Oryzias latipes: one gene and its partners. The protein of the gene in region 1 purifies or fractionates together with the protein of each later gene. This does not show direct contact. Links are inferred from orthologs where the notes say so. Each region holds a gene or a part of one and is shown in the gene's direction. Other genes may lie near its edges. The genes, in order: pnn, dual specificity protein kinase CLK2 and ncbp3.

What was found.
Region 2: the proteins of pnn (region 1) and dual specificity protein kinase CLK2 purify together in Homo sapiens (affinity purification with mass spectrometry; 3 studies listed by BioGRID and IntAct, counting the BioPlex papers as one, with this or other methods). This does not show direct contact. The link is inferred for Oryzias latipes from reciprocal best matches to the Homo sapiens genes PNN and CLK2.
Region 3: the proteins of pnn (region 1) and ncbp3 purify together in Homo sapiens (co-immunoprecipitation; 3 studies listed by BioGRID and IntAct, counting the BioPlex papers as one, with this or other methods). This does not show direct contact. The link is inferred for Oryzias latipes from reciprocal best matches to the Homo sapiens genes PNN and NCBP3.

Annotation. Positions count from the first base shown.
Region 1 is NC_019880.2:19,629,894-19,634,202, forward strand, and holds the start of pnn (pinin), read left to right. Parts: upstream 1-1,505; 5' UTR 1,506-1,539; coding exon 1,540-1,652; intron 1,653-2,071; coding exon 2,072-2,149; intron 2,150-3,274; coding exon 3,275-3,346; intron 3,347-4,191; coding exon 4,192-4,261; intron 4,262-4,309. UniProt on the Homo sapiens protein: Transcriptional activator binding to the E-box 1 core sequence of the E-cadherin promoter gene; the core-binding sequence is 5'CAGGTG-3'. Capable of reversing CTBP1-mediated transcription repression.
Region 2 is NC_019869.2:6,675,107-6,679,327, reverse strand, and holds the start of dual specificity protein kinase CLK2, read left to right. Parts: upstream 1-1,415; 5' UTR 1,416-1,571; intron 1,572-2,590; coding exon 2,591-2,778; intron 2,779-2,881; coding exon 2,882-3,155; intron 3,156-3,269; coding exon 3,270-3,281; intron 3,282-4,057; coding exon 4,058-4,148; intron 4,149-4,221. Other genes in the region: histone-lysine N-methyltransferase SETDB1-B, read left to right, coding at 170-271. UniProt on the Homo sapiens protein: Dual specificity kinase acting on both serine/threonine and tyrosine-containing substrates. Phosphorylates serine- and arginine-rich (SR) proteins of the spliceosomal complex.
Region 3 is NC_019872.2:24,114,917-24,118,446, forward strand, and holds the end of ncbp3 (nuclear cap-binding protein subunit 3), read left to right. Parts: intron 1-328; coding exon 329-438; intron 439-837; coding exon 838-1,144; intron 1,145-1,511; coding exon 1,512-1,660; intron 1,661-1,729; coding exon 1,730-1,906; intron 1,907-2,365; coding exon 2,366-2,655; 3' UTR 2,656-3,055; downstream 3,056-3,530. UniProt on the Homo sapiens protein: Associates with NCBP1/CBP80 to form an alternative cap-binding complex (CBC) which plays a key role in mRNA export. NCBP3 serves as adapter protein linking the capped RNAs (m7GpppG-capped RNA) to NCBP1/CBP80.

The DNA of each region.
Region 1 (4,309 bases):
TTTTGACCTCTAGTTTAGTTTTAACAAAAAGTTTAAGCAAATTTGACTATTGTTTTATTGTTTAAATACGGTAATTGTGAAGCAAAAAAATTTTTTTTCAAACTTTATTGAATGTAAAAATTCAATACAAAACAATGTTAAACAGTGAACAACAACGAAGGAACAAGCCAGGGGGTTTATACATTTTATGCATATATATTGAAACTAACACACAGATCTAATGTTTTGATGGCTTTCTTATTATCAGAGTTTCTTATTGTCTTAATGTATTGTTTGAACTCATTGATAAAGATTGAGAAATGAGGGGTATGATTCGTTACTTTTGATTTATGAATGTGCCATTTGCATAAAAACAACAAAATGTTAGTGAGGTACAACTGTTCTTTTTTATGAGATGGACAATGGGTGATGCCAAACATAATATTTTCTAAGTATAGGCGGAAGTCTGGGTCAATGTGGGCGGAAATGAAATGACAAACTTTAGACCAAAAAGTAGTGGAAAAGGGACATGACCAAAATAAATGTACAGCATTTTCAGGGTGTTCTTGACAAAAAGACAGGTAACATCAATATCTTCTTTGAACCTTTGCAGATATAGTTTGGTTGGATAGAATTTATGAATTACTTTGAATGAGATTTCTTTCACTTTATTGGTTAAAAAGTATTTTGCTGGTAACTTCCAAATCTTTTTCCATTCTAAATGATAAACTAAATTATTCCAAAAAGGAACTACATAAGGAATGGAGACAACATCCTTCTGGAAGAGTGAGCGTATACGGCGATTTGTGTTACGTGAAGAAGAAAAACAAATTTGACCTATTTCTATTTTAGTTGGATCAATTGGCAATAAAGTTGGATTTTGCAATGATGAACTTTTGAATAATGTAATAATACATTTAGGAATTGCTTTCAAAACAAAGTTAAATTCAGTTTTTGGTATTTTGATGGAGTATTTGAAGCAGAATTCTTCATGTGACATTAAAGCTACGTTTGAATTAAACAGCTGATGAACCAAAAGGATGTTTTGATTAAACCATGATGGATAAAATAAAGATTTATATCTATAAGTAATGTCTTTATTGTTCCATATGTAGTATCTGTGAGGAGAAAAATTGTGTTTGTAGATAAGTGACCAGGAAAGTAACATTTGTTTATGGAAGGAAGAAAGCTTAATTGGGATCTTTTGTACATTATAGTTACAGAATAAAAGAAAGTTTATGCCTCCTTATTTGGAGAAAATGTAATTTGGTATGAAATTCCAGATTGAAGTTGGATTCTTAATACAATGTCTTAGCCAATTTATTTTAAATGTATTGTTTAATGTACAAAAGTCTAGAAAGTTAAGACCAATTGTGAAGCAAATTGACCAATTTTTTTTTTTAATAAACCAGAAGGTGGCGGTAAAGAGCATGCTTGACCACACATCAACACATTTGACCGTGTGACACAAAGAAGACAGAAGGCGGGCGCATTGACAGATAGGCGGGAGTTAAAGGCGAAACCGAGCCGAGCACGTGACCAGTAATCACTAGCAACAAGATGGCGGTGGTTGTGCGGAGTTTGCAAGATCAGCTCGAAAAAGCCAAAGAAAGCTTGAAAAATGTGGACGATAATATTCGAAAACTTACGGGCCGAGATCCAAACGAGTCGAGGTAAAAATGTGTACAGACTGAAATGCGTTGGTGCTATTTAAGTTTTGTGCTGTTTTTTGTGCTAAAACTCACGAGACAAACGGCGTGTCTCGTGTTGTTAGCAGGAGGCGGCTAAGCGAATTGTCACATCCTAGCAACATTAATTAAACTCTGCAAACCCCTGCTACTCCAAATGCTTGTTTCATTATGAACGAACAGATTGTCTACCTTTGAATTCTAACGATGATGTATTTGCGTAAACATACACCGTTGTTTGTTGAAGTCTGTGTTAGGCCCAACTGCCAGCAGGCCTAGTAAGTCAGTTTAATACATTTTTAAACTATGCTTTTGCAAAAATAGTTGAAACCGCCTTTCTGTTTTAGCTCGTTATGCTTTTGTTTGGGACTGTTTTGTTTCTCACGTGGTTCATCCTTTTTCAGACCGGGCCAGTTCCGTCGGCTCAGCGGCCCAATGGCAGGCCTCAGCGGAGGTAGAGGCAGAGGAATCAACCTGCTCAGGTAAGGTGACGAGATTAACTTGGTGCACTTGCAGTAAATCAAATAAAAAAAAAATAAAGAAAGAACTTTTCCTTTCACCGGTCTTTGACTCAGATGCTCTAGGTATGAGATCGAAAGTGATAGGATAAGGAAATGCCACTTGATACTTAATAATCATGTCACACCCACCAGGCTTTCATTTGAATTATGGTAATGGACTACATAAAGGGCCTATACCACATTTGTCAAACTCAAGACCCGGGGGCCAAATGTGGCCCTCCATGTCATTTTATGTGGCCCGCGAGAGCATAAAAGTTTTTAATTTCTTAAAATAAAAAATAAAAATTGGTGTATTTATTCATATCTAGGGGGAATCTGCCTTGAAATATCGGATTGGGCACCTATACATTAGGACTTAAACACTGTAAATATAACCTAACCTGACAGAATCAAATTTAAAAGGATTTATGATAGATCAAGAAAACATATGTTTTCTATGCAACTGTAATTGTCACTTTAAAAAGTTATAATAAATGAGTTCTTTATCATTAAGTAGTAGTTACATTTATTTTTTCTTACATTTAGTTACATGTAAAAGTTATTTCTGGCCCTTTGAGGACAGCCACTATCCTGATGTGGCCCTTGGTGAAAATGAGTTGGACACCCCTGGCCTATACCACGCTATTCTTACGCCTTATCTAGTGTACATATACATGATGTATTCCCTTTGGGACACAAAAGAACATTTTATTTTAATTAAATATTAGTTATTTTTCTGAGCTTTTTTTTTCCAAACCGGAAGTAAGACGACTCAATCTCTAAGGCGTGGCCTTTTGCTCCGTGTGGGTGCCACCCATTGAATGTCGTCAACCCAGAGCCAGCCTCGGCAGTGTGTCTGCGTTTTGCTAAGGAAAACGAACAACCTCCAGCCTTTTGTAACGATGAATGTGCGTATAAAAGGAAAGCATTTTAGCCGATTACTGCTAGCTCTGCAGATAATTACTATCCGGTCGTACAAAACCGTACAGTTTTGGGCCAGATGCCAGCTCGGATGAGAAAAACAAAGGCTTACATAGATCTGGGTGTTATAAGGTCCCCCCCCCCCTAGGGAGAAGTTATTTTTTGATTGCCAATATGTTCTTTCAGGCGCAGTCTCTCGGACATGGGAACTGGCGGCCCCCCTGCCAAGCAAAGGGACATCGAAGGAGCCTTGCTGAGGTGACTTGTTTTTTTGTTTTGTTTTTTCCTGCTAGAAATAAGGATTTCTAGCTATTTCAGTAGGGACGTCCTGGTCATGTTTTCTTGTGCCCTATCTGGCCCACAGTCAATTGATTTCCAATATCTGCTGACCCCCCCCCCCCCCTATTTTTTCTTTTATTGGACTTTTATCATTTAATACTTAAACAGATACTTATACTTACACAGAGAAAATTTGAGTTAAGTTTTAGTGACTTGAGAACTATTGAACATTTTTGAACAGCCGTGATTCATATGCCCATTAAAATTTCACATTAATGATTTTCTTTAAAAAATTGCTGTTCTTGGCATAAATATGAGTATTCGCGAGTAGCTCAAACACTATACTACCAAGAGTATTCGCTCACCCATCCAAGTGATTAGAATCAGGTGTCCTAAACACTTGGACTGGCCACAGGTGTTTAAAATGTTGAAGTCATTGATCCCAGACGACTGACTCCGTACATCTTTCTAGCTTTGTGCACCTCTTACTCAAACTAGCACCGCAATAAATTGTTGCGATCTGTTCATAATATGCAGACTCCTAGTAGAGTATTTGTCTGTAATAGTGAGCTTGAAATGTAAAGTGCTGATCAAAATAAAAATAAATTAAATATTTGATACTTCTAGGAGACATTCGATTTTCCAATTTTTCAATTGAGTAATCAACCATGTGACCGGGCCGATTTCTAGTCAGGTGATTGGATCGGGAAATCGCTGTATTTCAGGGTTTTCTTTTGTTTTTTTCTTTTTCTTTCTTTTTTATAGAATCTAATAAAGCTGTTTGCACTGATTACCTCTTTGTTGTCATGGCTGTGCGAGTTTAGGCTGGCAGGAGACCAGAGGGCCAGGAGAGACATGCGCCACGACAGCGACGATGACGATGATGTCAAAAAGGTAAAATGATCTGGGTTCATTCAGTATCTCACTATGGGCCACACCCCT
Region 2 (4,221 bases), on another chromosome or scaffold:
TTATGAATTATTTTTCCAATTATTAGCCTTTAAATTTTATTTTCATTCAGCAATATAGCATTCAAACCTGCATTTTCTTCTGGAAATGCAGATCTTTCTAGTTTCTAGTGTTATCTTTGTGTGGTTCCTTTTTTTTGTGAGCTTTTGTGGTTTGTGTGGTCTTTCCCAGAGTGACGGGCACACAGAGTGGATCTACAGAGGCTCCTTACGGCTGGAGCACATGCTGAAACTGAGGCGCTGGATGATGTCCAAAAATAAGAAGAAAACCTGATCGTGTTTATCAACATGTGTCTGAAGTTATTTCAGAAAAGAAGTTGCAGAAGGAGGACATTAATTGTCGAGGTGCGCTGTTATCGAGGAACTTCCTTGTGAACAGTTGAATGGATTTTATTTAGTGTCTCTAAAAGTAAAATCTACATCTGAAGCATCTGTGGACATTACGCTGCTTTACTTCACTTTTTGTTCACTTTGTATTACATTAATTATGGATTCATGCTTACTTTAATGTAGTTTTTAGTCTTAATAAAATGTCTATTTTTCTGCTTGTTCTTCTTTTAGCCTGAAATGTGATTATAAGCAAAACATCTGCTGTTTATGACTGAAAAAATAAATGAAAAAAATCAAAATAAATTCAAATAATCTGCAATTATTAATCTTATTCCAATTTATTGTTATAGTTTTGAAAATGTTAATGTACTGGTTAGCCTCTCATTAGTAAACCGTCCGTTCTTGTTACAATTATTTATAAAAATCCCTTTGATTCTGGTCTGTATTTGTGTTAAAGACGCAAAAGATGGTTTTCATTATTTTTAAACATTAAAAAATGTGAAGGTCTCAAACTTTTTAAATCCATTTTTGATTTCATTCAAACTAAATGTTTTTATTTATTTAAAACCACGTTTGTTTGGAAAACAGTTTACTTACAGATAAAACAAGAGCAAATGTGGAACTTTCATTAATTAAAATGAATTATTCTTACTTTAGATCTAAATAATTGCTGTGTTTTGGATGGAAATAACGATTTTCATTACATTTTAAACCTGGAAAACATGAGGACAAATTTATTTTGGGATTTTTAAATTACGTTAAATTTACTTTTATATTGATTGTTCATTTTGGGGAAGCAACAAGGAACAGCAGCCACAAATAAATACATTTTTTAAAATGTGGCCAGATGTGAAAGTTTAAACTACCTCAAAATCAAATGTATTTATGTAATGACCAGATTTAGATAATTTGTTGCCCAATCTTTTTCTTTAAGTTTCATTCTATTGCAAACTCGCTTCCATGGAAATAAAACAATATTAATCTCGATAAGTATGATTTAATCCCAGATTAGAAAGGACTACGGTTTCCTAAAATGTCATGGAAGTATTTTGGAAAGAGGAGACGTCCTCGCGCGCGGAGGCGGGGCCAGCGGCAGCAATTTGAAGCAGAAGCTGCGCTGCCTGCCGCGGGCCTCAGGCGGACGACACCAACCGAGCACCAGGCTAGCAAGAATTTTGCCGAGAAATATTATCGCCACCACGGATTTCTTATGGGATAAACGCACAGGCCTCGCTGCTAAAACGGTAAATAGTTTCTAGCTTTCTTTCGTGTCATTTATTTCCAAGTTTGACGGCAGTTTGTACATTAGCTTGCTGTTACGGAGCTGATAAATCCAGCTAAGCTAAGATGGCGGTCTAGTTATTTACATTAGCAAGATGCTAGCATGGAGTAGCTACCAACTAAACACCGATATCTTGAATTTATATAGAACGCGTTTTTTCTGGTGTCATTTATCACCAGGTTTGGGTGCGGTGGTTATTTTTTTGTCGATCTTAACGTTTTTAAGAGTAAACAAATCAAATCATGTTTCAGACGTTACTTGGAGGACTCGGATTTTTTCCCCCGTCAATTAAACGATCTGGTTTAGCAAAGGTTCAAACAAACTTGATAGAAATGCTGTTAAATATACGGGAACTCAGAGCGTCCTGCTCTTCATTATCACTGTATTATGATTTTTAGTGTTGATAGTTTTTAAATGAACTGTCTGTTATTAACGGAGGCGGTTCTGCTGCTCGGAGTTAGTGCAGATGGTTTAGTCTGGCTCCTCTGATGTTGCAGTGTTGCTCCTGTGGGATTGTAGTTCTGGCTCCTGCAATCCCGCAGGAGCTGGGGTTGCAGTCTGGATCTTCTGGGGTTGTTGCAGTGTTGCTCCTGCAATCCCCAGGATTGGCTCCTGGGGATTTCGGTCTTGCTCCTGAAGAAATGCAGTCTGGCTCCTGCGGGGTTAGTGTCTTGCTCCTGAAGAAATGCAGTCTGGCTCCTGCTTGGATTGCAGTCTTGCTCCTGCAGGTTTGCCGTGTGGCTCCTGCGGGGTCTCGTGACACATTTTTATGTTCTCAATCAATGCAGCTATCTCTGAGGAAGCCGTCCCAACCCAGTTACACTTGGATTAAAATATATGTTTGGGATTCCTCATAAATCTGATACCAAGATTATTCATCTTTTCATATAATTCAACATGTAAAATATAAGTCTTTGTCCAGTTTTGACTGATGATGGTTTTTCTGTGGATTTATCGGTTTTCTTTCTCTCACTCCTGCAGATGCCTTACACAAGACGGTATTCGTCTTCTGACAGAGACAGTCGGACCAGCTACCCGGACCGCTACCGAGACAGAGGAAGGAGACAAAGGTACAGAAGATCACCCACCTACTCATCCAGCAGTGACCGAGAGCGTGACCGAAGAGGGCGGGGACACAGACCCAACGGAAGCTATGGAAGAACCAGGAGGTTTGTCTCCAAGAGCTGCAGTTTTTGTTGGTTTTCCTCTCCAAATTTCAAAAGAATCTCCTTTTTTGATGCAAATCTTTGTGTTTTTACTTGTCTTGTACAGTCGCAGCTATGACAATCGCTCAATGGAGCATCGACCGTACGACCGAAGATACTGTGAAGGATACCGACGACTCGATCCCAGCCGAGATCAAGACCGGGACCGGGAGCCCCACGGCACAGCTGAGAGCTTTTATCCACGAGAATTCTCCCCCAACTTGTACGACTACCGACGCGGCCGTGAGAAAGAGCGGGAAAGGTCCTACCAGAGGAAAGGCAGCAGGCGTAAGCACAAACGAAGGCGGCGTAAAACCAGGTCCTATAGCCAATCCTCCTCGGTGAGTACGACCATGTCTGAGACGGTGCTTTAGCGCTTTCTTCATCTTCTCCTCTTCAACCTTTCTTCTCTTCCTTTAGTCTATCTCTTTCTCTAACCGTTCCTTTTTTTACAGCTTGTGGAATTGGTAAGTAGTATATTTTATGATTTGATTTTGTTCTGTTTTTTTTTTATTACACTTTTGCAGAAATTGGCATTCCGTTTTCAGGGCATTTTCATTTTTTGGCAATAACATCTTAGTCATTCCTTAGACCAAATTTTGGAGGTTTCTTATTCCTAAACATCTAATCAACTTTTATTTTGTAGTGGTAGTTGATTTCTAAGATTGCATAGAAAAGTGAAAATGTTCTTTCAAAAATCATAAGTAGCCTTTAACAAATTTGCCCTTTTAGTTGTTTTTTCTCTTTATTCTGTTAATTAAACCACACCTTTAAGGTAGTTTAACTTGAGGAACTCCTAGGTAAAAAAAAATGGATGTGGTTCATTTTTGGAAGTATTTCTGCTTGAGCTGGTCTCCTTCAGTAACTTTTTTCTTCCATCGTTCTTCCAGAATGTCAGTCTGAAAAGTTTTTTTTTTTGATAAATGCCTGTTTTTATTGGTTTGAGATGATGAATGGAAATGCCAGATGCTTCTTTGTTTGTGAGCAGTCATGGTTTGGAAGGTAGAGGGGGGAGAGGAGCAGAGGACGACAAATGATGTTTTACTTTCCTTGCACTATATCGTTATCTATTTCCTTCACGTGCTGTCATGCGTGAATCGCCCCATGACCACGAAATCCACCTACTACTACTACCACCACCCTCCTCCTCCCTCCTCATCCACCTGTGCCAACACTGAAACCCCCGCGTCCCCCCCCCCGGTCGTGTTGTGACCTGCTGATGGCGGTCTGGGTGAAAAAACAGAGGAGCAACAGCCGGACGCGGGCACTGAGTGTGAGGGACGACGAGGAAGGGCACCTGATCTGTCGGAGTGGGGACGTCCTGCAAGAGAGATGTACTCACTGCCACTACTCTATCGTAACCCTTCTCCATATGAGTATTACAGCATAGAGCATTTACATGACACA
Region 3 (3,530 bases), on another chromosome or scaffold:
TGAAATGCGTGCGGCGGGCAAAGCAGCAAAGTGCCTTCTTCCCTCGTCTCTCACTTGACCTTGTGCGCCCTGGACGGAGCTTGTGACATCACAGCAGCTCATTAATTCAAACCGATCGTCTTTGTTACAGTTTGATTGACAGCAGTTTAAAAGGAGAAATACTCTGAAATGCATAAATGAAATGATTACATTTGTCATAAGAAAAATGCCACAAGGACATGTCAAACACACAAAAAAAACATGATTTTCATTGAAGGGGACTTTGAGTATCGTTTCCTGCTGACGGTGGAGCTTCATGACGTCCAAACTCTGATTTTTGTCCATTCAGGAAGAGGAGGTACCACAACCGACGCATCCAAAGAGACGTCATCAAAAGCAAGAAGCCTCTGATTGGAGACAACATGGGACACACGCCGCCGTACACGCACCGGCACTCCGGTGAGAACGCCGGGGATCCGGCCCAACTCCATGAGGCTGCATTCACTGACGCATAGTCTTTAGAGTTTCCAGTTTTCAGGTTTTAATCTAAAATTCATTCAGTTTTCAGTCAATCTGAAAGGGCTTTCCTTCAACAAAGAAGCAGAATTTTCTCATAACTGAATTAACCTTTTAACACAGGAAATGTCACCGGTGAATCCTAAATAACGCATGCTCCATCATATCCCATAACTCTTTGATCGTCTACACAATGAACCTAATTCCAGGAAGCTTCAGAATCTCCTGTTTCACCTTTATGGTGTTAAAGGTCAAAGGGTTATGGTAGTTGAAATAAAGTTGGTATAAAGGCTCAAACCAAATAAAGGCGGGGCTAAAAATCTGTACTCTCTCTCCTCTCAGCTGACCTGGTCAACCTGCCTGAGGAGCCCATCAAAGAGGAGGAGGAGGAGGAAGAGGAGGAGGACGCCAGTGACGAGGACATGGACTCTGATGACAGGGTGGTGGAGTTTAAGGACAAAGGAGGCAGCTCACGTTCTGGAGGGGCGGGGCTTCGCAGCAGTGCGGAGCGATCTCCGTCTCCGTGGTCAGAGTCGGATGAGATGGACTACGACCTGGAGCTGAAGATGATCTCCACGCCGTCGCCAAAGAAAAGCAAAAAAATGACCATGTACGCCGACGAGGTGGAGAGCCACCTAAAGAGCATCCGGTGAGCCCCGCCCACCGTCATCTGTAGTCATGTGACACAGTTGGACGGGCTTTTATTGTGTAAAGCAAGTCTTCAGATGGTAAACTTTTGTCTTTAAACTCCATAAATCTTTTTTGAGGGTCAGGAAGTGAGACATGGATCATTATTGGTTTTCAGAAACTAACATTTAAGAAATTTTAATTCATTGGAATCTTAATCGAATAAATGTTAATGTTTTCATCATTGTGGTTCAGCTTGTAGGGTACTTCCTACAGAGTTTCTAAATTATATTGTTGGGGGAGTGTTCAGAAACTGCCGACTCGTCTGCATCAAGCCCGGGTCAGGATGGGTTCAGAAAAGCTTTTATTTTGACGTTTTCCTCTGTCAGGAACCGCATCGGGACATCGGGGACCCAGAGCAGAGCCAAATCCTCATCCCCCTCCAAGTTAACGGACGTCCGGCAGCTGCTGCTGGAGAAGCGGCAGGGGCTGTCCCATCACAGACAGCCCCCCCCTGTGGCCAGCGGCGGGAAGACCGGTGAGGGGCAGCCGCCGCTTCTGCCGGGGTGTGGACTCCGTCCCCTCTGACTCTACGTCTCTCCCGCAGATGTCCGGCAGCGGCTCGGGAAAAGGCGATACTCTCCGGACAGACGCCGCACCCCTTCCCCTGCCTCCCCCAGAGACACGCCCCCAAGCAAAGAGCCAGTCAGAGATGTGCACAGCAGACTTGGCGTGGCCGGTCAAGACAGAGGCGTCTTCTCCAGCTCCAAAGACAGAAAGACGGGTACAGTGTTACCGAGTTACCGTCTAAAAATAACCGAAAATCCTTGAAGTGGAATGTCAGATGATCAAAGCAGTAAATCTCCTCACTACACACTTTTCTCAGACAGACTTAAACATTCTCACACTTTGTTTCTCTCTTTTTTAAACTCTCAAAGTTCAAACCTTCATAGAAATGAAGTATTATAGAATGAAAACAAAGATTTCTGTAACGCATTCTGTACAGGAGACATGGCACTGATGAGATTGATTGACAGTGGTCTGCAGCCAATCAGATGACAAAAAACAGTACGCTGTAAAAAAAATGTAAAAAGACGGCAAAATTGCACTGAAAATATCAGAGAGACGGCAAAAGGTGTACCGCCATGTTGGGAGGGAACACAACAGCAGTCCCGATCTGACTTGCCGAACTCTCCAATCCAGAACGGAGGTTCTCACGTTCTTAATGCCGTTTCCTCCTCAGGCGACCTCTGGAGCAGACTCGGCAACATTGAGCGGCGAGGGAGCGACCACTCGGCTCCGTCCTCCTCCTCTTCAGGTCGGAAAGAAGGCAGCGGGAGAGCAGGCAAGAAAGCAGAGGGTGAGGAGAAGGAGGAGGAGGAGGACGACTCGATGCTGCAGAAGATGTGGGGCGCCATGATCAAACAGAAGCAGGAGCGCCTCGGCCACAAGGGAAAGAAGAGCCGCCTGGACAGCCTGCCGTCGCTGCAGATCGAGATCAGCCGTGACAGCAGCGACGACTCTGACGCCTGAGGACGACTAGGAACTCGGCCAGACTCTCCTGAACTTCAGAGCTCCAGCCGGGCCCAGGCGGCGGACCGGACCTGCTGGTTCTGTCATCGCGTCTGGATTCTCTCTCCTTGAAAATGTTTTTCAGTTTCCTGAACTTCTCAAAGGTGTTGTCTGATGGAGCAAAGCATGACGGGAAACTCTAACCCTGCACCTGCTCTACATCATCGCCATGCATTCCTGTTACCACGGAGACAGACTCCGCCTCCAGCTCTCTTCCTGAAGCAGAGGATCCTCCTGTGTCGGAAGAAAAGTGTGAACTGGATCTCCTGGTGCTGAGTTGGTTGTTTTTTTCTGAAATGTTGTGGGTCCACAGACTCCAAGCTTCATGAATCCTCATTAAAAAGATGGCTGATGTTTTTTATTCCTGATGTTTCTTCTCTGCACGGAAAACCTGCCAGGTTTCAGCCCAGATGGCAACTCCACCTTACGCTCTCAGGCCGCGCTCCGCTTTGATTCTCTTACAGTGCAGAAGTTTCTTTAGATCATTGAAATACTTGCTACTAAATAGACCAGTGAAGTGTACAGTATTTCTATGAAAAGTACTCACAAGAACACCTGATTCAGGCCTGGATGGTCAGACTCACTCTGTCGATGAAAGAAAAACCACACCGGCACTCGGAGAACTTCAGACTGACTGAAGTAATAGCTGCCACAAACAGCGAGTAGGGAGACATCTGCTGGCTGAGCACCAGGAAAAGCCTAAATGCTGCCTATTGTCTCTATGAAGCCCACCTTTGTGTTGTAAATGTTATTTTTTAAGAGGTTTATTGAAGTCATTCAAAGCTTCTGGTATGTTTGATTTTATTTTACTGTAACACATCAAAGTAGCTGCATTT